Linked DNA regions of Rhinolophus ferrumequinum. The protein of the gene in region 4 binds, or shares a complex with, the protein of the main gene of each other region. Links are inferred from orthologs where the notes say so. Each region holds a gene or a part of one and is shown on either strand. Other genes may lie near its edges. The genes, in order: NUP98, NUP85, CETN3 and NUP205.

Region 1 (7,574 bases), on a different chromosome or scaffold from region 4:
TAAGGTTTTTTCAAGGACAATTTTAACGAAACACAACTTATTAGCTGACTTTACAAGCATACACCAGGCACCATAAAGATATGATTTTACGGAAATATTGGGAATGTTTTCTCTAGAGTAATGGTCTCAATCAGGGGCAAGTTTGCCACCCAGGGGGCATCTGACAATGTCTGGAGACATTCTGGATTGTTACAACTTGGGGAGGGGGTATTACAGGTATCTAATAGGCAGAGGCCAGGAATGCTGCTAAATAAACATTCTACAATACACAAGACAGCTCCCTCATAATAAAGAATTATCCGGCCCAAAGTGCTAAGCGCCGAGGCCGAGAAACCTTGTTCTACAGACACACTATGTTGAACACAGCAAGTCCTCCAATAATATCATTTCACGCAACATTGTCATTTTATTATAACGTTGATGAGATGTGATTGGAACTCTTGTTAATATCAATTCGCCTATGGTAAAACTGGTTTCGTTATACAATGTTTTGCTGCAGGTCCAAGAACCTATCGACGATGCCACATGAGGAATTACTGTATTTAGGTTCAATTCCAAACATAAAGAATGCACCAAATTGTCAAGAAATGTTTACATAACTTGGCTCTAATACTTATTGTTAAATCTCTAAATCCTTCAACCTTTCAACAGATTTCATAACTATAAATGTGCTCTTTATTTGAAATTAAACATCAGCACTACTACCCCTTACTTCCTAGGTTAATTACCACCATAAAAATATCACAATAAAAATAACTTATTTTTCCTAAGCTGTTAAATTGGTTCCCTAAAAGTTCTACTTGCTCTTAGCTATCTAGGTGCTAGTGGACGTGAATAAGGTCAGGTACCAAAGTACCATGTGAACTCTAACCTGGGCCCCACATTTCAGGAGCACACAAATACCCAACCTCTTTATAGACTATTTTTAGGTTTAACTCCTCCGTATTTATTTATTCATTCAAGCAAACACACTTACTGAGGTCCTACTATGTGTCAACCTGAATACAAAGACAAAAATATTTTACCAGTCTAATAAAAAGACAAACAGCTAAAACACAAAATGATTTGTGCTATAAATAAAAGTATCAAACAAGTGTTACGGAAGCTTACAGGGGAGAAAATGCCAGGAAAGGCTTCCTAGAATAGGGTGATGCTTGAACTGAGAAATGTCACAGAAAATATACCTTGTTCACATTTTAGTATTTAGACTACAGTTCTCTTCTGCTCTTACACACTATCTTTCAGTTTTTGCTTTGTCATCTAAACAAGAGCAAAGTGGTGATCCGAGTGATGTAAACAGACCAAAGCAGCAACAAATTCAATTTCATCAAATCTTAATGAAGAGTCAAAAAATACTTTTATCAAAGTATTCCCCAGTACCTCCATCCTGTCCAACTTCTGGTTTTGTGTTTTAAATATCCTGACTTCTTCCACCAAATAAACATAGCATCTGTCACCCAATTCACAAGCATTTCTTTCTGAATTTATAAGGCTGTCACAGGGACCGCTTACTTCTCTTTTCTTTCTTCTAGTTAGTTTCCTCTTCCAAAACGGAGTTTAATTTTTCTTACCTTCTTCTACTACAAAACTTTAAATTCTGTACCAGAGAGAAGCCATGAGTTTCAAGATACAAGAACTACAAAATGACTGTCTGCCTTTCTAAGTCTCAGCTATATTTCCTGCTTTCTACTCCAATACTGCTGTGGGTCATTAACCAGACACTTTCTTCTGAGTCCCCTGCAGCTGCTACAAATAAAAATTTTAGGTTTGGAACAGGAAACTAGCCAATGACTTCTGGTTTTACCGATTCGTTTTTCCAATACATAACATTACTAGCATTCTTTAACCAAAGTTTAAATTTAGTTTTCATGGTCTAGTTTTAGGGTACCACTAATCAAACAGAGCTGGTGGTAACTAAGTCGGAAACGCTACTGAAGACTGTACCTACTTCTAACTACCGACAGCCCCCGTCCCTCACCCCTACAACCGAAGGGAGTCCTCATAATGGAAAGTGGAACACCAAGGGAGAGTGATGTAGTAGACATATTTTTAGACTGGGCCAGATCTGGAATTGGCTAATTCTGTCCCTTCACTGGCCTCGGTTTCTTCATCTGTAAAACCTGTACGTGATATGAAGTAGGGAAATGGGCTTAATTTCTAAGATCCTTATGGCTATATATTATAGTAATCCAGAAACCCCATCTTTCTTCTCATCTAGCTTTACATGGAACACGTGGGAGGCCAGAAAATAATCTTTTACTCCACTAAACCGACCTTAATTCTCGGGTGTTTTAAAAAGCTAACAAACTCCCGACCCACCCACCCCAACCCTGGGGCTGCAAATGTCTCCTGTAGGAGAGGACAAGGCAAATAAAGCCCATCCCACACAACAGTCAAGGAAGTGCAGGGAGACCATATTCCTGGTGTTAAAGCGCTGTTCCCGCTAAGGACCGGCCCACCTAGTCACCGCCGGGCAAATGAATGAGCCTGGATTGATGGACGCTCCCTCAGCGTAGGCTGCGACCGGAGACACCCCGGACCCAGACCCCACCAAGAGCGATTCCCTTCCAGTTCCGGAAGAGCCGGGCCTCCCGGCCGCAGGATTGCGGGCCCCGCCCCCTCCCTCAGGGCAGAAGGTGCCGCCGGGGCGCGAGACTTCGGCGCGGAGAGGCCCTGGGACGCCCGGCGCACCGCCCGCCCTGAAGAAAGGAGGAGCCTGCCGGTCCCTGGCCGCCACCGCCCCGACTACCGACTTACCGTGGTGCGGTGGGGGAGGGGAAATGTCAAGAGTGAGGGCCTAGGCCCGTCCACCACCCGCCGCTCAGCGAGCAGCGCGCGGCTGCCACGAAACCGTCGCCGCCGCTGCCACCGCCGATACCTACCGCCGCTTCGGGCGCAGCGCACAGTGGGCCCGACTGCGTCACACGCCGCCCGCCGTCAGAGGCTCGCTCCGGGCGCTCCGCCCTCGCTGCCTGAGCATTGGCAAACGCCGCCGCCACTCTAGGCCCACCCTGTTACTCATTGGGCAACGACTCTTTTGAAACCCAACGTGAGGGAGGTCTTTGAGAGAAGGGGAGAAGAGGAAGAGGAGGGGCCTAAGAAGTTAGGGGGAGGAAGGGGGAGGGTTGGTGGGAGGGACGTGGAGCTCTGGCCCTCACCGCCGCCGTTGGCTGGGAGAGAGTCGTGACGTAACACAGGGCCCCTCGAAGTGGGCTGGTGAGTGGCTACGTTGGGCGGGGTGTGGGAGAAGAGCGGTGACGCTTATCGAAGCTCCGCCCACTTCCTTGGAGCGAAGAGACCCGCTGCTGAAGCTCCAGCCAATCAGAGGAAAGGCTCCAGGATGGCATGGTAACTATTCTACCCACACCTTGCCCCAATCCGTGGGCGGTGATGGGAAGGTTTCCCGGTCGTCCTTCCCTCACTTCTTGGCCAGACCTCTTATAGAGCTAGAGGGCCCCCCTGGGAACTCTGACTGCCCGCGTAGCTTTCCTGCAGCTGCTCCGAGGCCTTAAAACCAGGCCTTCTGGTCTCCTGTCCCACGCAAGCCCCAGCACCTTTCCCTCTCGGAATCCCTAGAATAGATGTTATGAGCATCAGAGATGCCCTAAGGGGATGGTTCAGCAAAAAACTTGGTACAAATGAGGATTCTTGGAACTTCTTTCCCACCTGCCCTTTAGGAATCCCCAGTTATTCTTAAAGTTCTGTTCAAATGCTCCCACCTTCTCTAGGATACATTCGCTGAATCTCTCTCAGCAAGTTGGGTTAATGCTTGGGCAGGCCTCTGTTACAGCCTTGTCACTTTGTATCCTATTACTTTCCTGTCTTCTGTGCCGCGGCTCTTGGAGGTCAGAGCTGCATTTTCTTCATCTTGGTGTTAAAAAACAAAATTCAACCAAGTAAATTTGCAGATCTGATTGGCTTTATTAAGCCATTCATTAATTGGGCAGCATCCCATCTAGCAACTGGAAAGGCAACTGAGAGGTTGTACAAATGGAAGGATTTTATAGGAAGAAGGGTGAGGCAAGGGAGCTATTAGCAAAAGTAAGGATTATTTTGGGGCTCTGACATCTTTTCTTTGAGGGAGGAGAAGGGGAAGGGTTTTTATTATGTAGATTACTCCTTTCTATGGAGGATGGAGAGGGCCTGTGTGACAGGTTACCTCACTGGTGCTTGACCAGAAATTTTCATAGTGGTTTGATTAAGGTCATGTTTCTAGGAGAGGTTGAAAATACAATTAGATCAATTATTAAATCGAGGTTTGGTATTATGGGCTTTTGGCATCAGTGATGCCATCTTGGGCCTATGGTTTTTTTCTTTAATATTGGTGTTCCTTTCCCTTGGGCCAAGCCTGGTGCAGAAGCCTGATATTACAAAGGGGAGGGTTGAGCATGTTCTAAAAACTAGGCCTAGTGACTGAGAGTCCCACATAGAATAGCACCGACTGTGCTCAGAAAGCCTACTTGATTTACCTCTCCACCACCGCCTGCCTCCTCCTGGGGCATCAATACAAAATTGAAATGGGCTCTGCCCAAAAGTAGGTGACCTTAAATCCCTGTGGGTTTTCAGTGGTGGCAAGAGATTGGAGATAATTGATTAATTTGTCAAACAGTGGAGTGGTCATAAAGATGAAATAAGATAATGGATAGGAGAAATCTGGTACCTTGTAGGTGCTCAGTAGATGCTTGAAAGAAGAAGGAAAAAAATACGTGGAGTGTCGAATAGTAAAACTAGTTTGAATATCTGACTCCAACCACCTTCCCCCAACTCCTCCACCCAAATATCTCTCTTTTTCCTCCACCCTCTCTTACCTATGTGCTGCATCAGAAAGTCATCAGTTCTCCCCGGATAGTTACAATAGCTTCCTCATTGCCCTTCTGAACCTTTGATTTGTCATCTTTCAATCCTCAAACCCAACCAAACCTTTCCCCTACTTACTGTGTTTCCCCGAAAATGAGACCTAGCCGGACAATCAACTCTAATGTGTCCTTTGGAGCAAAAATTAATATAAGACCTGGTCTTATTTTACTATAATATAAGGCCCAGTCTTGCATAATATATAGTATAATATAATAATATAATATAATACCGGGTCTTATATTAACTTTTGTTCCAAAAGACGCATTAGAGCTGATTGTCTGGCTAGGTCTTATTTTCGGGGAAACACGGTATTTAGTCTGGTGTCCTTAAGGCCAAACACACAGTACAGGCGCACATTAAATGTTTGATGCATGAATGAGTGAATTATTTTCTTAAGTAGAAAAATAGAAGTGTGAAATTTTTGAGTTGGAGAAGCCTGGGTTTATATTTGAGCCCAACCATGTATTAGCTGTATGAACTTGGGCAAATTTCTTAACCCCTCTGAGTCTCAGTTTCCGTGTCTGTAAAAATGGGGATAACCCTACTTTCCCCACAGGGTAATTGTGAGAATTAAATGTGATAAAGCACTTATCAGGTACCTGGTACACAGTAATCCCTCAGTGAATGGTAGATATTATTTATATTCTTTAAAAATGTCAAGGAATTCTAATTAGTCTAAGACATGATTCTTAGAAAAGGGGCTCAGAAATATGTCTTGAGGGAGTGAGGACATTCAGTCCAAAGTACTAGTGGGTGTGCAAGACCTAGGACCCTTAAATACTTGCGGGAAAACTGGAGGGAGAAGAGGACGAATTGGATGAGGAATGCTCCAGGGAGGAATTCCCTGTGAACATGGTGGTTTCGAAGTGAAGGACTCTTGTTAGGTACTCTGTAGGCATGTGGCCCACAAGCTCATCATTCTCAGGGATTTCTGCCCAGGGAAGAACTTCTACAGACATGGAGTTTGGTGTATGTTCACAAAAGCTTGTGGAGCCAAGCCCTGTTTTGGCATCAGTAGCCCAGAGATGTCCACAGCTCAAAACTCTGCCATGGCCAGTTCTGTCCTGGGAACCCCCAGTCTCTCACATACATGCCCTGAGAACTCACTTTATGCAGCAATGAGGAATTGGAGCTCAGGGAGGAGATAGTCCTCTAGAGATTGCAGAATCATGGAAGGGCAAGACACTTCCTTGGGATGGTTCTAGATTTCTTACATGGTGCATTGGAAAGAGCAGCAGAATTGGAGTCATACAGCTAAGTTCAACTGCCAGATCTGCTACTTTTTAGACTTTGCACAAATTATTTAATTGTTCTGTGCCCCAGTTTTCTTGCTATAAAATGGGCACAGTAATTCCTGTTTTATAAGGTGGTTGTAAAGTTCAAATAAGATAATGGAATTTGCAAAGGACTGGACTGGGTACATGTTTGGCACATAGTAAGCACTCAGTAAATGTTGACTTCCTTCCTCTTTTCCTATAACTTGATAGTGAAGGGTGATGTTTGCAAATAGCATGTATTTTTATAAATCTTGTGTGAATACCTTTGACTTTTTTTTTTAATTACTTTTTTTTTAAGATTTTTAAAAAATTTTTTTTTTAATTGGGGAAAGGGAACAGGACTTTATTGAAGAACAGTGTGTACTACTTCCAGGACTTTTTTCCAAGTCAACTTGTTGTCCTTTCAATTTTAGTTGTGGAGGGCGCAGCTCAGCTCCAGGTCCGGTTGCCATTGCTAGTTGCACTGGGCGCAGCCCACCATCCCTTGGAGGAGTTGAACCGGCAACCTTGTGGTTGAGAGGACGTGCTCCAACCAACTGAGCCATCCGGGAGCTCAGTGGCAGCTCAGCTCAAGGTGCCGTGTTCAATCTTAGTTGCAGGGGGCGCTGCCCACCATCCCTTGCGGGACTCGAGAAATGGAACCGGCAACCTTGTGGTTGAGAGCCCTCTGGCCCATGTGGGAATCGAACGGGCAGCCTTCGGAGTTAGGAGCATGGAGCTCCAACCGCCTGAGCCACCGGGCCAGCCCCAATACCTTTGACTTTTAACTAGAGCATTTAGTTCATTGCAGTTAATGAATTTACTGGTATATTCAGGATTTTATCTAACACTTTATACTTTCTACTGTCCTTTCAATTATTTTTCTGCCTCTCCTTTATTTATTTTTCCTCCTCACATTTCTCACTTGCGTTAGTTTATGAGAATAACTGTTTTCTTTTTTTAAGATTCTACTCCGCCATATTGACCAGATTTCTCCTCTCCTTTATTTATTTATTTATAATAATAATTGCCATTTATTGAAACCCAGATCTTTGTCAGATTTTTTAAATTGAGATATAATTCACATAACATGAGGATATAATTCACGTATAATAATAATTCACATATAATTCACATTCACCCACTTAAAGAGTACAATTCAGAGGTTTTTAGTATATTTAGTATTTTAGTATATTCACAAGGTTGTGCAACCATCACGACTGTCCAATTTCAGAACATTTTCGTAACCATGAATAGAAACCCCAGCTCCATTAGCAGTCGTTCTCCAACTCCCCCTTCCCCAGCCCCTGGCAACTACTAATCTGCTTTGTCTCAATGGATTTGTCTAGTCTGGACATTTCATATAAATGGAATCATAAATATGCGGTCTCTGTGTCTGATTTATTTCACTTGGCATAATGTTTTCAAGGTTCATCCATGTTGTACATCAGTACCTCATTC
Region 2 (6,844 bases), on a different chromosome or scaffold from region 4:
CTTTAGGCAGACAACGAATTTGGCTGGCAATAGTCTCGTCAATAGTCTTGTCTCAAGACAAGTTAAGTGCATTCAGTTCTTAGGAAAGGCTAACGCGGTCATTCAACAACTAAGCAATGTGTATTAAGCCTTTTTCTGTGCTGGGCTCTAGGAATACAACAATGTGTACCACAGTCTGTGTCCTCCAAAAGCTAGTGGTCTCCTGACGGAGACCAATAAACAAACAGGCAGTCAGAAAAGGGGAAGTATGCTAAGTCTGAGGTACACACAGAACAGAATCTGTTTTAGCAGACTCGTATTGGATGAGTAGGGCGGGCAAGGAGGAAGCATTATTTGTACATAATGGTGCTGGAACAAATGGGTATCCATATGCAAAAATGAACCTCACACCATAGACAAAAATTCACTAAAAATTAGTCACAGACTCAAATGTAGAGCAAAATCTATAAAACTTGAAAAACATAGTAGAAAATCTTTCTGACCTGAAAGTAAGCAAAGATGTATATAGGACACAAAAAGCATAAGCTATAGCATAAGAAAAATGTATAAACTGCACTTCAACAAAATTAAAATTTTTGCTCTTCATAAGATACTGTTAAGAAAATGAAAAGGCAAGCCGTAGACTGGGAGAAAATATGTGCAAAACACGTATTTGATATCCAGAATATATAAAGAATTCTTACATTTCATTAGTGAAACAACCCAGTAACAAAATGGGCAAAAGATTTTTAACACACACTTCACCAAAGAAGATATACAAATGACATATAAGCCCGTGAAAAGATACTCATTAGGGAAATACAAATGAAAATAACGAGCTACCACTAAATACCCACTGGAATGGAAATGAAAATTAAAAAGACTGATCATACAAAGAATTGATGAGGATGAGAAACAACTGGAACTCTCAGACTTTGCTGCTGCAAAAAGAACTGTACAACCACTTTGGAAAACTGAGCTTATTTTAGCTAAATATGCATCTGTCCTATAACCCAGCAATTCTCCTTTTAGGTATGTATCTGGAATTAAACAAAACAAAAAAGACAATGAAAACTGTAACTTACACTTTTTAAGAGCTCTTGAACCAAAAGGAAAAGAAGACCAGTGGTCTAGAAAAACTACTCAAGATTATTCTACCTACTTTGAATCTACATTTAAATATCCTCGAATCTGCCAGTTACTAACTGGACTTCAGGTGCCTTGACAATAGGGAGCAGTTGTGTGAAAAGCGGATACAACTGCCATAAAGGGTGACTTAATGGTATTCACAATTATTCATCAGTCTCTTGAGAATGTGTTTAGAGTAAACCCCAAAGGCAGATGAACACTCAAAAACAGACATGACAGCGTTTAAACTCGCAGAGGTGAGCTTCAGACTCTGGACTACAATGCCCCTCCTGTGTGTGCCCATGAGGCCAACCAGTTTTCTACCTGGTCTCCCCAGCACGAATATAGAGCTGGGGTTATCACAAGTCCATCATCACTACTGGGTATAAAAATAAGTAAGCTGAGATCATCTTCATTCCATCTGTAATGAAGCTCTTTATCAAGGCACAGTATCAAAGCAGTGGCTCTCCAGGGCACCACAGGGTACTAGGAAGGCTCCCCCGACCCAAGGAGTCTAACACAAGTGAGAGAGGGAAAGTTTGAAAAAGTTCCAGTGACTCTGATGTTCTAATTTGTCTTCCCACAAACACTGACACAGTCCTTGATGGATAGTTAATATTTAAAGTACTCTGTATAGGTATTAAATTGGAACATTCTACAGCAGTAAGCTTTAAAGAGCATAACAACCCATGTTAATTGCTATTTAAGATCTCATGCCTCCTTTTGTCCAGTCAGCTTTGAAATGACCCCTATTTTCAATTTTTTGTATTGTCGGACACTGCTTTGCAATCTGATGTCTTTGGCTAAAAACTGTAGGCATCTCAACTATCTAGAAAGCAAAAGCACAAGGTATAGCAACTTTCAGTTTAGTGGGGCTTCCAGAGCTAAGACGTGCAGAAGCAGCCCACAATGGGTAGAGGTGTCGGACGTAGTTAGGGAGGTTAGGGAAGGCTTTCCTAAGACACAAGCTGCCGGAGCTTGCATTTAAAAAACGAGCTGGAGATGAGAGAAGAAACGAGCATTCCAGGCAGGGGGAACGGTAGGTATTTTATATCTACAGGCTATGAATTTCTTTTAAAATCCTGGATCTGCAGCAGTTGACATACTGTCTTCAGAGTTCAGATCAAATTGAAAGCAAAATATAAAAAGGAGATAGTCCCCCGAGAGAATAAATTCGTTTAGTAAACCTTAGGCAAGCGCAGCACAAGCAGAAGCCAAGCTCACGGCGCTGCGATGTGAAGCTAAGTTCGGCTGGAAGGAAAAAAGCCCCAATTCTTCTGCCGAGTCCAAGCGCGCTCTTTAGAGCATTAGCCCAACGAGAAAAGCGAGCGGAATAGAAAGGCGCAAAGACGAGGGAGGGAGAGGGACGGAGTGAGGCCTCTGGGGCCAGGTATTCTGAGCATACGAAGCAGCAGAAACCCAGCGACCACTGCGATCCAAACACGGGCAGCTAATTAATGTGACCTCCGGATGGTGGCAACTGAGCTGAGAGAAGGGGGCGGGCGCCTCCCGGGAGGCAGGGAGGTAGACAAGCCTGCAGTGATGAAGCAGACTCAATCCTTGGGCCGCGAGGGCAAACCAGGCTCTTTGGGGCGCCCTTACAGTGACTGTCGGCTCGCCATCGAGCTCCTCCATAGCGCCGCAGCTCAGCTGCCGGGAGGTCGCGAGGCCAGCACAGCTCCCGGCTCGGGCCTCCCGCTCAGAGCCGCTGCAAGAGAGGACCCGACCCGAGCCCCCTCCTGCACTGCCTGCAGGCCCAGATCACCAACGCTGCAGGGGCGTCTCCTCTCGGCCACGGCCACCCCTCTACGGCACTCTACTCGTGTTCTTCCTTCGCGGCCTCGACAACACGTCAGGGAAACCGGCGCCAGGGGCAGCCGATCCTCAGAGGAACCTTCTCGCCAGATCAGGCGCCGCCGGGGACAGCCCCACGCGGGGCGGGGAGAAAGCCCCTGGAGACGGCGGGAGCGGTGGCGGGGCGGCTGCGCGTGCGCGGGCTGGGGTGGCCACTCTGCGTGGAGAGGCGGCGGGGGCCGGGCTCGAGCGAGCGTACCGCCTGTCCCCACTCTGGCTTTCCTTGCGGCTTCTGAGTCTGCAGCTCAGTGTTGTCTCGGCCGCTTCTGTGAGCGGTGTCCAGGGCAAGGGATCCCCGGTCTATCGGGCTTGTGGACGGAGGCAGTCGCTGCCAACTCCCACCCCAAAACGCTCAAGCAGCACGCGGACAAAAGTGATGCAGCCCGACAACTGTGAAATCGGGACAGCTGGGCTTGCTTAACTCAACACAAATACTGGTTTGTTATCTCACCAAAGAAAAGCAGGAAAAGGAAAAAAAACCACAGTCAGAGAATCCCGGTCTTGTTAATGGGAAACTCATTTAAGTTACTAGTGCTCTAGTAACTTAAAGGAGTTATTTATTTTGTAAATGCCATATTTACAAATACGTACACACACACACACACACACAGAAGAGAATAGTGCTGGTTTTACATTCCCAAATAAGCACTTTTTTTTTTTTAACTAACTGAAGATAATTCGAAATTAAAAAATAAGTCTTAGGAAACAGTGCCTGAAAATGTAACAGCTTCTTTTTTTGGGGAAAGATACTTGATCTGAAAATCAAGTTTCAGTTTTTTACCCGGGGAAACAGTTCTTTCCCTGAGATTACTCTGAATGACCTATTTGAATTGGTTGAAATGAGATGACTTGGAGTGGTTAGGAAAATCTCACACCAACAGTTTTTTCTATTTAGGTACAAATTCAGGAAGGAAAATCCTGTGGCTATCACAATTTCATCCAAATCCTTATCTCTTAAGACAGCCATCAATAGGATGACATTTAATGTAGTTTTGCACAAAACTCCACACTTCTACCATCTATAGCTTGGTGCATTTTCCAAATGTTTCACATTTTCACTGATCCAAGTGTTCTGGCACCAATAGTGTGGCTATGAAGTATGAGAAATTATGCATTTATGTCCCTATCCTTAAGAGGTAAAAAGAGGCCTAATATTTTACAAAAGTAAAATAAACAGTAGCAAATAGATCAGTTTAAAAAAACTAGTTATTATATCTGCTCTGGCGACTCAAAATTATTTGAGCAGCAGAAGTTAAAGCAAAGCTTAAGACACTGATAGAAAATATGCCTAATTTCCTTCAGAGAAAATTATTAATTATTCTGGGGAACAGGATGAGTAGAAGGAAAGGAAAAAAATAATAGGATGAAAGACCAAAAAGAAAAACCATCTTCTCTAAAGGAGACCTGAGAAAAAAATAATTTGAACAACAAAGGAGCTTAGAAAATTTTAGTAGTATAGTTTTTTGATATTTTAAGACTGACATAATGTCATTTGAAGATAACAGAAGTATTGAAACTGACCTAGCGATAGATAATATTGGAAAAAAGTATTGAAACTATTCTTTGTTCTAATACCATTATATACAAGCAACCTTACACAATCATTCAAATACATTCATTAATTGGGGAAAAAAAGAAAACTACAGCTAATAGAGTTATTATTCTATACATAGATCATTTTCTTCCTTCTGGTCCTTCTCAATAGTCTTCCAAGAATGGGGTTTCAATGAAGTAGTTTATCCTTTTTTTTTTTTTTTTTTTTTTTTTTAACAGATGAGCCTAAAGGAATACATTTGGGAAAAAAAAAAATAACCAGTACACAAATCTTTTTCTCTTAACCTCTTCACAAGCTCCTTCTCTCCCCCTTTATCCCCCTCCTTTCACTCTCCCTCCTCCTCTCCCTAGAGTGGTTGTTTAACTCTGGAATTCCTGTATCTACTCTGGAGAGTCTTCAATCATGCAGGAGACACTTCAACTTGAGGTATATCAGAACCCTAGGAAGACAGAAAGAGTATAATATTTCTGGAATCAAAAATCTCCTAAAACAAAACATACCTATCGCACAAGAGTCAAACTAGAACTTACTTTAAATCACTCCAAAGTCAAACTTAGAATCATTCTCAGATGAAGCCAGAGGAACTGTGCTAGAGATATGCCATATGTAAAGTGCTAATTGGATGCATTTAATTCATTCTAGTAGAACCAATGCTCCGTAGCCTGCAGAGAAATAAATACATAATCATTTCAAGAGACATAATAAGTTTGGAAAACAAGGTAGAAATCTATTATCAGGAGCCATAGAAATATTTATGCACTTTGATCCAGTAAGTCCTCACTTGAACTTTTATTTCTAATAATTTCAAAACACAAAAGGTATGTGAATTTTGGTAAGTGCTATATAGATAACAACAAAATTTCTCAAATCCCACCCTATTGACGTTTTGGGCCTGATAATTCTATATTGTGAGCTGTCCTGTGCCTTACAGGATGTTTTGCAGAATCCCTGGCCTCTGTCCACTAGATACCATTCATACCTTTTAATGATTGTTGACAACCAAAAATGTCTCTAGATATTCCCAGTATCCCCTAGGGGTAAAATCACCCGTGCTAAGAACTGTCATAGATGTTCATCCATTGAGGAATAGAGGAAGACAATATATCAGTGAGATATTCACCTATTGAGAAGAACTATGAAGACTGATAAGAATATGGGAAAGTCTTTCAAGAAATTTTAAAATGTTCACCTTTTTGTCTCCATAATTGTATTTTTAGGAAATAAGAGGGACATTTTGAATAACCAAAAAACAAAGTCTCACAGCAATCATTAAAATTAATGTGCAATCATTAAAAGATAACTGTAGCAAAATTTTATAAAGGTAAAATGTAGTAAAATTTTGTTAAAAGTTTTATCAATTTTGTAAAAAATAATATGTAGAGAAAAAGATTGGCAGAAATGAGTATTATTACTCTTAAAATCAGAAAAAGTAGGCATGTTTACCACATAATTTTCAGTTTTTAAGAGCAAACGAAAAATTGTATATTTCGACAATTAATGTAAAGAAATTTACGTGTGGATAAAAGTTAGAAAATAAAATTGAGACAGGTGTTATGGGAATATGAAGTAAAAATTTTTATTTAAAAAATGTTTCATTGAAGTTTTTAATACATATAGAGATACTACATAAGACCATGTTTGTGAAAACCTGCTTTATAGTCCTACTAATGTATATCTGGCCACATGAGACTTCAAGTTGAGAAATATGTGACATATTTCTTATTGAAGGTGTAAAAGCTGCTCTAGCCTTGTGGTTTTCAAACTTTAGGGAACTTCATAATTATCTAGAGGGCTTGTTAAACCATTAATTGAGTGATTCCTGGGCTCTGTCCCCAGAGCTTCTAATTCAGTAGGTTGGGGTGGGGCTCAGGTATTTGTCCTCCTGACCTTTCTAAGTGGAAGTGATATTGCCCAAGGGACCATCCTTTAAGAACCATCCTTCCAACTCTATCTTTTCTACCTCAGTGGGGAGTAATCAATCACAAGAACTTGAAGAGTGCAAATATTATCTATATTTGGCACAGCTGCAGAATATAAGCTTAGTTCAGTTTGTTCTCATTCATTCTATGAAACAAACATCCTTGAGTCACTGAGACCTACTTGAATCTAGTAATGGACAGAGAAGTAAGATTGGAGCATTAATGGGGTTAGAAGAACTTGAAATCATCATTCCAATGTAAAGACTACATAACTAACAGGAATTCAGAAACCCTAATTTAGGCATTTTTGGCATTCTCATGATAAGGACTATGTTACTATTGCATCAATAAGTCAGTGAACTCTTATTGATCACCAGCTCTCGGGACTTAGTTATTTGCTGAGATTATG
Region 3 (6,921 bases), on a different chromosome or scaffold from region 4:
AATGGTAGTGTACAAGATGAACTAGAAATGGAGAAACCATTTAGGAAGCTCCAGGTATGAAATAAGATCCCAAACCAAGATAAAAACAGTGGCAACAAATGAAAGAGACATTATAAAAGAAAAACTTAAAAAAGCTGGAAAAAGAGCTAAAGAGCTACAAAAAAGGTTTTTCACTGTGCTGAGTGTCAGATCCATACTACCCAAACACTAATTTCCCGTTATCTTTATAAGTAATTCTAAGCCTTAAAGGAGACATTTTTCCCCATTTATCATTGGGTCAACATCACACATCATGTATGTTGTTTGCACCAGAGAAGGTAGGTTGAAACTGTTACGAAAATGTTCAAATTAAAAGATAAATAACACTCCCCCAACTGGAAAAAAGAACGTCTCAAAAAAAAAAGTGGGGAGAAGAATACAGTAAAAACGGCTTACATCCTGTAGTTTGAAAAAATTCAATTATGCAAATAAAAAAATAAGCCCCTCCATAGCAATATATTTTTCACATTTAAAATGCTATTCATTTTACCATGAAAAGGAGTTTATTTTAGAATATGTTAGAGTACTATTCAATTTTATTATAGCACTTAACTGTGAATGTTTAAAAGGGTTTCAAATTTCCAAAACAGTTTAGTTAAAATACTTATTTAGAAATGTATTTTTAACCAACTGTCAAAAATGCAAAGCATTTTTACAGAAAAAAATATACTACATTTTAAAGTATACTACTACCTTTAATTCATGATAATCTATTGCTTCATCTTTGTCGGTGTCAAATAGTTCAAAAGCATCTTTGATTTCTTGTTTCTGTTCTTCAGAGAGTTCTCTTCTTTTTTTCCTCTTTGTTTTGTCTACTACAAGTTCATTTCTATGAAATGAAAAGAATAAAGTTTAGTCCACTTAAATCCTATTTAGTGCACTTTATTTAGTCTATTTAAATCCTATTCTCCTAATGCCTGTAGATGATTAAGATTTCAAAAATGCAACCAAAAAATTTAACCAGTGAATAATTTTCTAAATTTCTTAAAAGATGTATCTGGAGACTGATAAAGTATCCTTACATGAGTCAAAGCCTTGATCATTGCATAGTTTGAGCTGCTATAAACTTGCACTTCCCCAAACTTATTAAAAAAAATTTTAATAATGCTACAGCTTATTAAAAAATAAAAAATGAGGACCTAACTTTCCTTCTTCCTAGCTTTGTATTTATTCCCACAAATGTTACTGTGGACAAAGCAAGAACTGTGAATAAGAAACATTCCTTTATGTCAGAAACCCCAACAAAAAAACAAATTTATTATAAAAAACATACTTATTATTCAAATCATTCTACAACATAAAGTGTTTTTTAAAAAAGAAAGTAAAATTTATAATTGACAATCACGATATACTTGGTTTACTTTTGATAGTGCTTATAATTGTTATCAAAATTACTATCAAAAAACGTGTAATTTATCAATTAACTTAAAAAGTCTTTTGGCATTGTAGGTTAGAAATGTTTTTAGATTACTCATTTCTAAGTTTGGCGCTTTATAATTTCTTCCACCGACATTAACAAATAAGTCAAAATATTGAGTCTAAAGATATCACTACTATTAAACTCCAAAAGTTACATAAAATTTGTGCTAATTCTACATAATAATATGAAGAGTCAATGGTCAAGTCTCACTTAACATGTAAATGTAGATTTAATTTCTCATAAACTCTGGAAAAAACTTTTAAAAGGAAATTTAAAAGCCAGAAATGTCTTCCTTAAGAGATGCCAATCAACCTAAGCGTTCTAAGTTTTCAAATGGGGCTGCAACACTTGTAGCAGTTTTAAAACAGAAAATTCTATAAAACTTTAAAATGTAAAACCCAGTTGATTTTATTAGAACACGTGATCTATTCGCATTTGAAGGTGTTCTCTGAAATCTATAAAAAGAAAAACAAAGGCAAGAGATGACTAGAAGAGGTAGGATAAAGCTGAAGATCTTTCACAAGAGCCCAGACTTCACACCAGCTTGAACATTACTGGAGTAATTTTCTTCCCACGATTCAAAGCTGCCAAGTCCACAATCGACAGACAACTGACCCCATCCAAAGATATACCACCATTATCCCATAGCAGAACACAACACCTTTTTAAGAGTGGTGTAACTATATAATTATTTTTAAGGTAAAACATCTCCAGATGTTGCCAAAAAAGGTATACACATTTTAAGAAAGGAAAAAAACTGTATTAAAATTGTAATACTCAATATATACCAATAACTGAACATAAATACAAGTCATGTGTATACATTTTTTGGCTCCCCAGTAGATGAGGCTAGGGGAGGGGGCAACCAACAGAGGATTACAAGGTGGAACTGAATGAAAGGTAAAGAAACTCAAGAAATGTAGGTAATTGGGGTCTCCAAATAACCGTAGATCAGGGCCCCAGGAGAAGAGCAAGAAGGAGTTTTGTTATTTCCAAAATATACATTATGTCAGGAGCAGTGCAGCTGAGGTGGGGGCCGTATACCAAGGAGGAACTGAAGGAAGAGATGCTCCAGGGCCTGATTTCTCGCAGAAACGCTAAAAACCTCGCGATATTTCCCTGCCTCCTTGGAACTAAAACAGCTGCCATCTCTTAGGCGGTCCAAAAGCCAAGGCGCTAACAGGTATGACCACGTCGGCAGAAATGCACTGGACTCATCACCTGCAGCACACCTGGGCTCGGAGGCTGAGGAGTCCGGGCCCGGGAAGGTTGGCCGAGGCTCCTTTCCCTCTTCCCAAATTGCAACCCCTTCCTCGCCTCGGCCCCAAACTGTTTCCCTTCCACACACACCCGCCCTGGGGCCCGCTGCGGGCTGTGGAGTGCATTCCCGCCTCCTCATTACCGACCTCAGAGCTAAACTCATTTTCTCTTCGGACAGAGACGTTCCTCTCAAGAACGACTTTAACCTCCTACCCAAAGAAGCACGACTTCCACAAGCTGTTCAACACACACCAACGACCTCAGCGGCCTTGAGGACCTCCCACAAGGTAGACACTTCCGAGCCGGATTGGTTGAAATTGCTAATGCCATGCCCATTGAGGTGGAGGCATCACTAGTCCTCTGCTCTCATTGGGCACATTCCGCGTCAATCAAATAAATCTCTCCGCGGGCCTCTCCAGCTGTTTCTTTCGCGCTTTAGATTGGCCCGTTGCGTTTTCCCCGAATCCTTTGCGGAGCGAGGATTTGAGTCCCTGCGTGGTGGTCCCGGGGATGGGTGGGTGGCCCTCACCTCGCGGGAGGTGGCCTTGGACTGTGGGCGATTGTCCGGAGACAAGACGGACAGCGACGAGGGAAGGAAAGGGTGGGAAGAGAAGAGACACGCTGCAGGCTGTCCTCTGGGAAGAGGTCTGCGAAAGTTAGTTCTTCTGTATTCCATAAACTTGGAAGGCCTAAGTACAGGAGTTTGTTTAAAACGCAAATTTAAATGCCCCTTACCCCCATTCTGATGCCAATGATTGTGAATCAGCTTTTTTTTTTTCCCCCTCTCTCCTTACAAACTATCCTAGTGATTCTGAGGCAGGTTCTATGGATTATATATATGTGAATAATCACTGTGTTGGATTATTAACCTGTTTACGGTGAAGCTGTATCTAAACACCCTTTTGCCCCCCTTCCTCCTTTGGACGGATTTGTTCACTTTTGCCCTTTATTTCCAGTGCTGTAAGCTGCTTGTACACGTTATCTCCCCTACCACACCAAGTCTCTCGAAGTTCACTTGGTATTTAATATGTTTAGTTGTTCATCTCTTATGCTGAATTTCTTGAAGGCCAGGATTATATCTTTCATTTAATGCTCTTCCCAGTGCCTAACAATGGGGCATACGTAGGTGCTCAATAAATACTTGCTCATTGAGTGGAGTCTTGCTGTGAAAACTCACAAAGTGCTGAACTAAATTACAAATCTCAAAGGAATAAAGAGCCTGAGGGTGAAGATCTAGCGGGGTGGGCGGTGGGAAAATATATAAACACCATGGTGTGCGTATAAAGTGATATGTATAAAGGTTTAGAGAAGGGAGAGAACAGGCAGGGTAGAAGAAAGACTTCTTGCAGATTACATATATATTAGGCCTAGGAAGATGAGCTAAATTGGAACAAGTAAAGATAGTATGATCGAATAAAGCTGAAAATAACTAAAGCATTTCCCTTCCTCCCCCCAAAAAAACAAAAGCAGAAAACTTTACATTTTAAAGTACCTTTATAAATCACCTTTGAGTTTAAAAGGAAAGTAAAATTGCAATTACAGATGATTCTCAACTTTTGATTGGGTTACATCCAGGTAAACCCATGGTAAATTGAAAGTATCGTTAAGTTGAAAATGCATTTAATACATGTAACCTACCGAACATCATAGCTTAGTCTGCTGTACATTAACTGTGCTCAGAACATGATATCCAAAAAAACACTGACAATGAAGTTCACTGTAGAGTATTAGTTGTTTACCCTCGTGATTCCCTGTCTGACTGGGAGCTGCAGAATTCTGCCAGTGTCCAGCCTCCTGACAGTATCATACTGCTTATAGGTTACCCTGGAAAAGGTCAAAATTTGAAGTATGGTTTCTACGGGATGCACATCACTTTTCACATCATCATAAAGTTTGAATATCCTGAATTGAAACATCTTAGTCATGGACCATCTCTACACACTAGAAGTTAATGACAATGAAAAAACTACATAGTAAAATTGTAAGGCATAGACCAAGCTGTAGAAGAAAATTATTAAATAAGAAAAATTGAAAATAAACCAGGTATTTATTTGAAGTAGTTAGAAGTGAAGAACAAAATCAACTACTTGAAATGAGAAGAAATTACTAAAGATAATGACAAACGAATTAGAACACAAATTTTAAAAAGACAATTGTTAATAAATGTGTAGGGTATTCTCATAACATGGTTCTTGGCAATACCAATAAAATTGACATTTATGGAAGTGTAACAATCAAGGGAATACTGCCATTAATAAGGTTGGTAGTTTAAAAGAGGTTTCAAAATTATTGAAATATTGCCAATAAATATTAATATCAAAATGAAAGTCACTTTTCAAGGAAAACAAAGATAAGGACTCAAAAAAAAAAAAAAAGACCAGAAAACTAAATTAAGTCAATAACTATAGATAAGACTGAAAAAATGATGCCAAAGTTCTGTACCACAAAATAAAAAGGCATCCATTGAACCCAGTCAGATTTATGGATAAGTTTTAAAAATCCTTGAAAAGCTGATTATTGTGCTTTAAACTCAAAGCATGATAGAAAGCATCTTAGCTTAATTTTTGAAGGTAGCATAACACTTAGCATCCTAAAAAGCATTTAAAATTACTGAATGTATGCTCCATGTTGAGAATGTGGGCATGTTGCCCACCATTGTATGTGCCTCGCTCATGTTTGATGTTAATTAGTGAACATATGTGTAAAAAATTCTAGATGTTGGCAAAAATCAATTTGGTATTGCCTTAAAGGAACTATAACCAAATAGGATGTATTTTTAAAATGCAAAGATAATTCAAAATAGAAGTCTATATTAATTAATCATAACTGTAGTTTAAGGAGATCATCTCAATGTCCTAAAAGGCACTAGAAATATTCAACATCTATTCCTAATAAAATGTATATTAATAAACCAGGTGTAGAAGGTACTTTGTTAAATTGAACAATATACTTAATAAAATGGTAGTGTTTCTCAGTTTTGATCCATGAAATACTAGAATTTTGTGAGATATAGTCATTTCATGAAGAATGGGTTTCATAAGAAAATAATTTAGGGAAACTGATTTTTAAATGTTAAACTAAAATGTTTTCAACAGGATTTCCTATTAGGGGAATGACTAAGAAGTGAACATGCATCACTTCTGCTCATATTTTATTAGTGAGATTTAGTGACCACTCCTTGCTATAAGGGAGACTGGGGAAAAAATTCTCTAGCTGTAAAACCATGTGCCCTGCTAAAATTTGTGGTCAGATCATCAATAACTAAAAATAAGATAGGATTAGCAGCTCTGCCACAGGCACTATTAAAGCAGTTATCAACACTATCTTTGAACTTCTAATCGATGATGTAATAAAACAAGAAAAAGATATGATATATAAAATTATGTGTGGGTGATATGATTACCTGGAAAAATCCAAGAGTATCAAACTATTGGAATTGATAAAAGAATTCAATAAAGTAGCTGTTTTCAGAAAAATTTGCAAAATCAGTGAGCATTTACATCATAAAATAATAGCAATATGAAATTCCTACATATAAATTTAACAGGAAATTTGTAGGATCAGTAGGTAGAAAAATCACAAAATTTTATTAGGTTGGTGCAAAAGTAATTGTGTTTTTTGCATTTATTATTAACCTTTTATACCACAATTACTTTTGCACCAACCTAATACTAAAGTACATGAGCTTTTAATAAATTAACCAAGAAGGTCCTAGTTAGGAAGATTTGATATTGTAAAAATGTTGATTATATCCTAGATTAATCTGTACATTTAATATAATTGAAATTAAAATTCTCACATTTTCTCTTAACAAATTTGTGTCTCCCCAAAATTCATATGTTGAATTTTGAACCTCCAATGTGACTGTATTTGGAGATAGGACTTTTAAAGAGGTAATTAAGTTTCATGAGGTCATAACCCAACAGAACTTATGTACTTAAAATAAGAGGTAGAAACACTAAGGAATGTGCGCACACAGAGTAAAAAGGCCATGTGAGGACACAGCAAGAAGGCAGCCATCTGCAAGACAAGGAGGGAGGCCTCCAGAGAAACTAACTCTGCTGGCACCTTGATCTTCAACTTCCAGCTTCCAGAACTGTAAATAAGTTTCTGTTGTTTAAGTCACCCAATCTGTGGTATTTTGTCATGGTAGTCCTAGAAGACTAATGCAATAAGAAAATATTAACAGATCCTACTAAAGG
Region 4 (7,622 bases):
GGAAGGTGAGTGGAAAGAAGAGGAGCAAGCAAGAGACGCATATACAACAGGGAGAAGGGCAGAAAGGGTAGGATTTACCTTAAATAGGAAGACACAGACAGGGAAACTGATTCAAAGGGTGCAGATGTATGTAGGCTTGTAGGTTTGAAGGGGGAAAAAGAAGAGTTCAGGCCTGTTGGCTTCTATTTGCTCTGTGACTAGGAGACCGAGGGGTGGGTTGGAAGTTAAAAATTTGAGGAGTGTGAAAAGGTCTCAAATAGTCACTGTTGTGAACAGAACAGGGTCCACAGACTGCCACAGAAAGACTGTCAAGTAGTGTTAATAGTTGTGTACTGACAACAAGCTATACGTCTACTTAGCCGGGATGATACAAGTCACAACACTAGAAAATCATGCAGCAAAAACTCAAGGTCTTAAGCATAGGTCTTAGAATTCTTCAACCTCTGTATTTTTCCCCTTCTATTAAGTTGGTGCAAAAGTAACTGCGGTTTAAAAGGTTAAAAATAATTGCAAAAATGGCAATTACTTTTGCGCCAACCTAATACAATTCTTAAGATGTTTGACTTTTTGGAACTGTGGTTAAAAAAAATAAAAAGCCTAACAGAATTTACTGTCTTAAACATTTTTAAGTGTACCGTTCAGTAGTGTTAATGCATTCACATTGCTGTACATCACATCTCCAGAACTTTTTCATCTTACAAAGCTGAAACGATACCCATTGGGCAACAACTCCCCATTTCCACCTTCCCCCAGCCACTGGCAACCAACATTGTTTCTATGAGTTTGACTACTTTAGATGCTTCATAGAAGTGGAATCATACAGGATTTGTCTGTGACTGGCTTGCTTAGCAGAATGTCCTCAAGGTTCACCCATGTTGTAGCATGAGACAGGGTTTCCTTTTTAAAGCTAATAATATTCCATTGTATGTATACACCACACTGATTATCCACTCATCCATCTTTGGGTTGCTTCCCTAAGATGTTTAATTTTTAAATACATATTTTACTGACTCTTGGTTTTTAAAAATGTTTCCTTTCTATGTTGCCAATTAAACACTCCTGCCACAAGGCCTGATACAATGTATACTCTCTGTGGCTGTTGACAACTCCTTTTTCTTTCAATTATTTATGTTTAATGGCATGAGTAGGTACTAAAGAAATGTATATAACCACACGTATAACACGCAAGCCTTACTTTTAAGTTTGCATCAGGGTGGGAGAGTGGGGCAGCAATACCGTGTTTCCCCGAAAATAAGATCTAGCCAGACCATCAGCTCTAATGCGTCTTTTGGAGCAAAAATTAATATAAGACCCGATCTTATTTCACTATAAAACCGGGTCTTATCTAACATAATATAAGACCGGGTTTTATCTAACATAATTACATTAATTTTTGCTCCAAAAGACCCATTAAAGCTGATAGTCCGGCTAGATCTTATTTTCATGGAAACATGGTATTAAGGAAGTAACTTCATTAATAACATTCAGATATATGAAAAATTGATGTAACAAAATGAATTAGGTTGTGTTTGAGTAGTAGCATATAGTAGCTTAAGTATCAAAAATTAGCTTAGAAGCATTAGCTGTATAACCTTAGGGAAATTACTTAGCCACTCTAAGCCTCTACTTCCAAATTTGTAAAATGGGGTATTTAATAGCAGCTACCCCATAGGAGTACAAAGAGGTCTAAAGGAGATGAAAATACAACTGAGTTCAGTGCCTGGGAAACAGCAGGTGCTCGATAAACATCACCATTATTATAAAACTTAGATTTAGACAACTTTTCAAGAATATCAGTCCTGTGGAAAGAGCCAACACCAAAAACAAAAAAACAAACAAACCAACAAAAATGACTGCATGGAGGCAGAAAAAGAAAAGGCACGCAAGAAAGAGTCCTCTTGAGTGAGATTCTCTACAAGCATTTACCACACAGATAGGCTCTTAATTGTGCCCAGGAAGCTAAATACGTCTCAATGCAGGAACTGACCTGCTGAGCAAGCAATTCGTTTTCAAGCATCCTTGCCCCGCCCACTAGGCGCCAACAGTTCATCCCAGGAATTGTGACAATCAAAATGCACCCGTTTGCAAAAGTCCCATGGGGCAGGGGGATGGTACCGCCCCGGGTCGAGAATCCCCAGAAGAGAACCCACCCCAAATGTTTCAGAGTTCCTTTACTACCTTCTAGATTCTACCCCGCCCCGAAGATCTGCCGCTCCAAAGGTCTAGCAGCATCCAGGGAACTGGGAGTCATTTGCTGAGCCCGTGACACATCTTCATGGCCACCTTCCGGGTTGCAGGCTTCATAATCCTGCTTCCTGCAGGACCCCCCCAATCTCCAGGAAGGGTCCCAGTGCCTAGTTTGGGGTGCGTGTTGTCAGCCTGCGCTCGTGGCTGAAACATCTCAGGTCCTCCGGCCTCACTGCCCGAGACTCGCGAATCCTGGAGAGATCCTGGCCGTAGACACAACGGGGGGTGCGGAGTGGGCAGGCCCACGCGCGGCCCTGGGCTGGCAGAGACTGCACGCCCGATTGCAGTGGACCAAGCCTCCGTGCCTCGCGACCCTCACACCCCAGTTCGAGGGCTAGAGCCGCAGCGCCGACGCGCGCCATTCAAACCGGGGAGGGGAGGGACGCTAGGCCCAGACCTAGTGAGAAGCGGGCACTTGCGCAACTGGGGGCCTGGACTCCAAGGAACCTCACGGCCCAGGTGTCTCCCTGAAGAACCGATCACTGCCCTGCCCCCGTTTCCTTTCTGCCTCGCCACACTTACCCGAATTTACCGCCAACAGCGTCGCCATGTTGGAGGCGCACTAACGGAGCCCTCCGCCGCACAGAAGCCCCAGAAAAGGGTGAGGCTGCCCGTGGCGCCACCTGAACAGAAAGATACCACGCTGCCCACTCCGAATTGCACCTCGACCGGCTCAGGCGTACAACTATTGAAAAATCTGCTCTGGGTCACATACGTCAATTTTCGCCGGGATTATTCCCATTCAAATAAAGCGAGGGCAACCAGTTGGGAAATGCGAGGTCCTTGATTTGACGTTACTCGTGCAGTGCATCCTGGGATTTGTAGTTTCTAATGATGAAGAAAGTTGGTTAGGGGAAACAAAAAGATGTTCTGAGACTAGTTATTGAAATGACGCCCATTTATGATATTATAAAAGCCACAAATTCAAATCATTATCTCTATTTCGAATTAAATATTCCTGGCATTACTCCCTTACTTTGGAGAGTGGGGGGGTAAGGTGCCTTACAGGGTGAAACAAATCAAAATGAAACAAATCATAATTTTTATTATGAAATTTTCAACTGTGCCCAAAATTAGAACAGTGAACGCCCAGCTTCAATAGCAGGACCCAATCCTATATCCCAGCCCCAACATGGGAGCTTATTTTGAAGCAATTTACAGACATATCATTTCATAAACACCAAATATTTTTCTACCTAACCACTCCCATATAACTGTACTTTCCTTTTTCACTTGCTAAATTTTAGTTTGCTAATTTTCAAACTAAAATATGGTCATTACCACTTGCTATCACATGCCAGATATTTATTGAGAATTTTACATTATCTTATAATAATACATAGTAATAGTCCTATTATATGTAATATTTTATACATTATTTTATATTTTGTATCTTACATATTTTATATATTTTTTGTATTATTATTATTAGTTCATTATCTCACTTAATCCCTGAAATAATCCTATTAGGAAGATGATTAATTATAGCTACTTAGCTCAGATTTCCATGTGCCTTACTCCTCCAACATTCCACTAAGGTTGGGAGAAAACAGTTTATATTCCCATTTTACTGTTGGAAATCAGAATTAAGTAATTTAGACAAAATCAGAGAATATGTTATTAAGAATATCAGGTATATTCATTCTTTTGAACAGATAATATTAAGTGACATTTTGGTACACAAAAGTCATTGATGAGTTTTTGAAAGTCATTGTTATGTAGAGACAAATGCCAGACTACAACGGAAATAGTTTTAAGGAGTGAAGGTGAGAGAAAGTGAAAAGGCAAAGAGATTTTTCCTGAAGTTTAGCGTGAAAGTGAGAAGACTACTGAGGAGAAACTTGGCAGGAAGTGGCATTCAAAGATTTTCTTTCTCAGCACAACTATTACAAGCCTTCCCCTCCACATATTTTTAAGCCCACACACGTCCCTCTTCGTAGCTCACTTCGCTTTCTATGAAGGAACTCTTTAAGTTTCTACAACAACAAAAAAGTTCCTACAACACTCTCACCCATCATCACACTTACAAGCATTCTCTCCCTTGACATGTGGAGTATCACAACTTCTGGTTTTCCTTCCATCTTTCTAGTTCTTCTTTTTAAGTTTCCTACAGGAACTTCTCTTTCTCTTTTCACCATTAAATGTAGCTCTTCCCTTTCAGTCATCCCCAGCCTATATTCTTTTTATTCTATGGAAATCCACTTATTTACTGATGAATTCTGTATTTGTATCTGGCCCTGTCCTCTTTGCTGGGTTTGATTTGTATATCCAACTTGTCTACCCCACATCTCTACTGATTGTCACATAACCATCTCGAAAACAATCAATTAATCCAAAACTTTAAGAGCACTTTTCTCTTAGAACCCTACCACCTATATCTACTTGGTTGCTAAAGACAGAAACCTGGGAGTCATTCTATATTCTTTCTTCAATTGCCAAATCCTATTCATTCTACCTCATAAATATTTCTGGGACACTTTTTCTCTTCTCCGCTGCCCAGGCCACTGTTTTCATCGGGTCTCATCTTCTTTTACTTGATATCTTGCAATTGTATTCTCACTGGTCTGACTGACTTCCATCTCATCTCCCTCTCATGGATTCCCAAAGTGATGGTCAAATACACAAATCACATCATGTGCCTGCCCTGATCAAATTTCTCAATGACCTATTACCTAAGGGTAATATCTGAAACTTCTTAGCAAGACACTCATGCTACTTTCTGATGAGATTCAGCCTCTTTCAACCACCTCACCTCACTCTTTCTCAAGTGCCCTTTACCCTGACCATTCTGAATATTATTTTTATTTCCCCAAGTACAGCATGCTTTCTGGTATGGTGTATTGATGCCTTTGAACCTGCCGTTCTATTTGCCTGGAATGCACTTCCTTCCCTTCCCCAATCCTCTGTTGACCACCCGCCAAGTTAACCTCCCAAACACAATGATGGTCTTCCAAGTCTCAGGGCCTGTGTTAATGCTGCTTCCCTGATGCTATCTTTGATTCCCCACAACCAATTTCCCTACATCCCTATTGCACTCTGTTATAGCCCTATGTGCTCTAATGATCGTCTTCCCACTAAAACTGTTAGCATCTTATGGAAGATTGTCATTAAAAGGCCCCCAAGGAATTACATGTCCTTGAATTCAAGCCCTGCTGTAATCGCCTGCCACATTTGAATCTGGGTGGGCCTTATGACTTGCTTGAACCAAAAAAAAAAAAAAAAAAAAATGCAAGTTACACTGGGCAAGTTCTGAGCCTAGAATTTAAGAGGGCTGGCTGTGTCCACTTTTGCTGTTTTGCTGCCCTGAGACACCACGTAGCGAAATCCTACACATAGTGCTATATATGTGTTTGCTAAATAACAAAAATGATTTCGAAGGCAAAATAAGTGCTAACTGGGGGTACAGTACTCCCCCCCTTATTCACAGGATCCCCAGTGGATGCCTGAAACCGCAGATAGTCCTGACCCCTATATGTACTGTTTTTTCCTATATATACGATACCTATGATAAAGTTTAATTTATAAGTGAGGCACAGTAAGGATTAACTTACTTATAACTCATAATAAAATAGGACAATCATAACAATATACTGTAATAAAAGTTATGTGAATGTGGTCTCTCTCTCTCATACCTGATCTGATAACCAAGACAGCTATTAAGTGACTAATGGGCCAAGATATGCTGACAAAGGTTTTATTCAACTCCTGGGCGGGAAGGAGCAGGACAGATTAAGATTTCATCATGCTACTCAGAACGGCTGTTTAAAACTTATAAATTGTTTCTTTCTGGAATTTTCCATTTCATATTTGTAGACCGTGGTTGACCACAGGTAACAGAAACTTCAGAAAGCAAAACCACAGGTAAGGGGGGGACTACTGTACTTACATAAACATTCAGCCCCTCCAGCTCCCCGAGCCTTTTACCAGGGAAGCCCCCCTTCTTCATGGAGTATGTCCCTCTGGCTATGCTAGTTACATCTTCCTTCCTTCTAAATCTTTGTTGGCACTAGCTTCTCATTCTAGAATACCTTTAGTCCTTTCATCTGGTTACTCTTCTCAGGCATGACCTTCCCCTACCCGACCCCCTTACTTTGGTCTGGATTAAATGCTATGCTCTCCCATAATGCATTATAATTTCCCACCACTTTTTCCCTCTGGGCTGAACGCTCCACATAGAAAAGTAGAGGTACCCAAAGGTAGCCAGTAAACGTTTGTTGAATGAATAAGGCTGAGGAAAGGTCAAGCTCCTGTCTCCTACCCATTGCCAGACTATATTGTGGGCTCCTGGAAGACGGTTTCACAAACCATCTCTCTTGCAAGTACCTGAAAACTCTAGAAGCAGCAGCCTGGATTTCTCTTTTTCTGATGGACCTAAAGAGGATATGATACTCCATGTTTCCTCTTATAAAAACACCAGGGCTCCAGCTAAGGAATTAGCTGGTTGAACTGCCTTGAGAGGTTGAAAACCATGTGGGAACTTTGGTCCTGACAGAGGTATGTGCCACAATGGTGCAAGACATAAAGCAGGGAAATGAATGTAAAAGTACGGGTGGCTAAGTCAATTTATCTGATCCAAAAAAGTCTGGATAGTACTCTGGGAATTAGTATGAATACTTGGCTCGGTCTTGGGCGGGGAGAGTGTGAAGGAGAGTGAGGAGTTCTGAGGGAAGCAGAATTCTGTGTGTGACGAAGGAGTAGTGCATTCATCCCATCAGAAGAATACTCAAAGCGAAACTGTGGACGAGGAACAAGAAAGCATTGAAATAAACTGCACTGTTCAGGGCATGATGTCAACTCAGAAACAAAGGACAATAGGAAATACTCCCAAGTGTAAACAATGCAAAAATTAATACATAAATTAGAAAAAGAAGAGTTTAAGAAAGGTTCCAGATTAACATGAAGCTGTCCTGTGTGCCATTTCTCTGCTTCAATTGGGCTTACGGTCATTCTTCAGTGAAGGTTATTTTGTATCTTCTCTTTGCACATTATTGAAGCATCGAGATTTCAGGAAGAAAGTGAAAATAAGGTACAATATGCTGCTGGTGTTGAGGAGAGATTTTTATTAAGACTTGCCGTGAATCTAAGTTTCTACTTTGCTAGTGACTTACTGTGTGATAATGAGAAAGTTATTCAGCCTCTCCAAGCCTGAGTGTCCTCATTTATTAACACAGAAATAATAATACTTTCCTTGGGTTGCTGCAAAGATTTGGTGAAATAACATGAATTTAACATAAAACACTTAGAAGGTATTCTGCTGCAATAACAGGATGATCAGACTGAAGAACAATGAGAGTAAAGTATGGGGATAAAAGAAAGGAAAAATGAGCTATGAATAAGTGCCTGATAAAGACGAATTAATATACTAATCATAGTAT

Evidence for each region.
Region 1: NUP205 (region 4) and NUP98 share a complex: the UniProt entries of both Homo sapiens proteins name them as parts of the nuclear pore complex. The link is inferred for Rhinolophus ferrumequinum from reciprocal best matches to the Homo sapiens genes NUP205 and NUP98.
Region 2: the proteins of NUP205 (region 4) and NUP85 are in contact, whole or in part, in a cryo-EM structure (PDB 7TDZ), measured with the Xenopus laevis proteins. The link is inferred for Rhinolophus ferrumequinum from reciprocal best matches to the Homo sapiens genes NUP205 and NUP85. Residues at the interface, in XP_041443600.1 of Xenopus laevis: Glu1477, Cys1480, Arg1481, Cys1484, Asp1485, Ser1517, Gly1518, Tyr1519, Leu1520, Lys1521, Val1522, Val1524, Asp1525, Ser1574, Gly1575, Gln1582, Gln1638, Gly1641, Gln1642, Gln1645, Val1648, Leu1690, Asp1691, Ile1692, Gly1693, Leu1694, Asn1695, Asp1696, Gly1697, Ser1698; in XP_041431608.1 of Xenopus laevis: Ala86, Glu87, Glu88, Ala89, Ser90, Gly91, Lys92, Ser93, Arg94, Lys95, Pro156, Pro239, Met240, Gly245, Thr246, Gln247, Thr248, Leu249, Thr250, Glu251, Phe252, Glu253, Leu254, Lys255, Trp256, Gln257, His258, Trp259, Pro315.
Region 3: NUP205 (region 4) and CETN3 share a complex: the UniProt entries of both Homo sapiens proteins name them as parts of the nuclear pore complex. The link is inferred for Rhinolophus ferrumequinum from reciprocal best matches to the Homo sapiens genes NUP205 and CETN3.

Annotation. Positions count from the first base shown.
Region 1 is NC_046294.1:47,376,221-47,383,794, reverse strand, and holds the start of NUP98 (nuclear pore complex protein Nup98-Nup96), read right to left. Parts: upstream 3,014-7,574; 5' UTR 2,883-3,013; exon of another isoform or gene 2,758-2,882; intron 1-2,757. UniProt on the Homo sapiens protein: Plays a role in the nuclear pore complex (NPC) assembly and/or maintenance. NUP98 and NUP96 are involved in the bidirectional transport across the NPC. May anchor NUP153 and TPR to the NPC.
Region 2 is NC_046304.1:50,238,510-50,245,353, reverse strand, and holds the start of NUP85 (nuclear pore complex protein Nup85), read right to left. Parts: upstream 3,015-6,844; 5' UTR 2,743-3,014; coding exon 2,710-2,742; intron 1-2,709. UniProt on the Homo sapiens protein: Essential component of the nuclear pore complex (NPC) that seems to be required for NPC assembly and maintenance. As part of the NPC Nup107-160 subcomplex plays a role in RNA export and in tethering NUP96/Nup98 and NUP153 to the nucleus.
Region 3 is NC_046290.1:59,221,851-59,228,771, forward strand, and holds the start of CETN3 (centrin-3), read right to left. Parts: upstream 3,005-6,921; 5' UTR 2,883-3,004; coding exon 2,866-2,882; intron 869-2,865; coding exon 733-868; intron 1-732. UniProt on the Homo sapiens protein: Plays a fundamental role in microtubule-organizing center structure and function. As a component of the TREX-2 complex, involved in the export of mRNAs to the cytoplasm through the nuclear pores.
Region 4 is NC_046309.1:12,424,670-12,432,291, forward strand, and holds the start of NUP205 (nuclear pore complex protein Nup205), read right to left. Parts: upstream 3,016-7,622; 5' UTR 2,798-3,015; coding exon 2,770-2,797; intron 1-2,769. UniProt on the Homo sapiens protein: Plays a role in the nuclear pore complex (NPC) assembly and/or maintenance. May anchor NUP62 and other nucleoporins, but not NUP153 and TPR, to the NPC.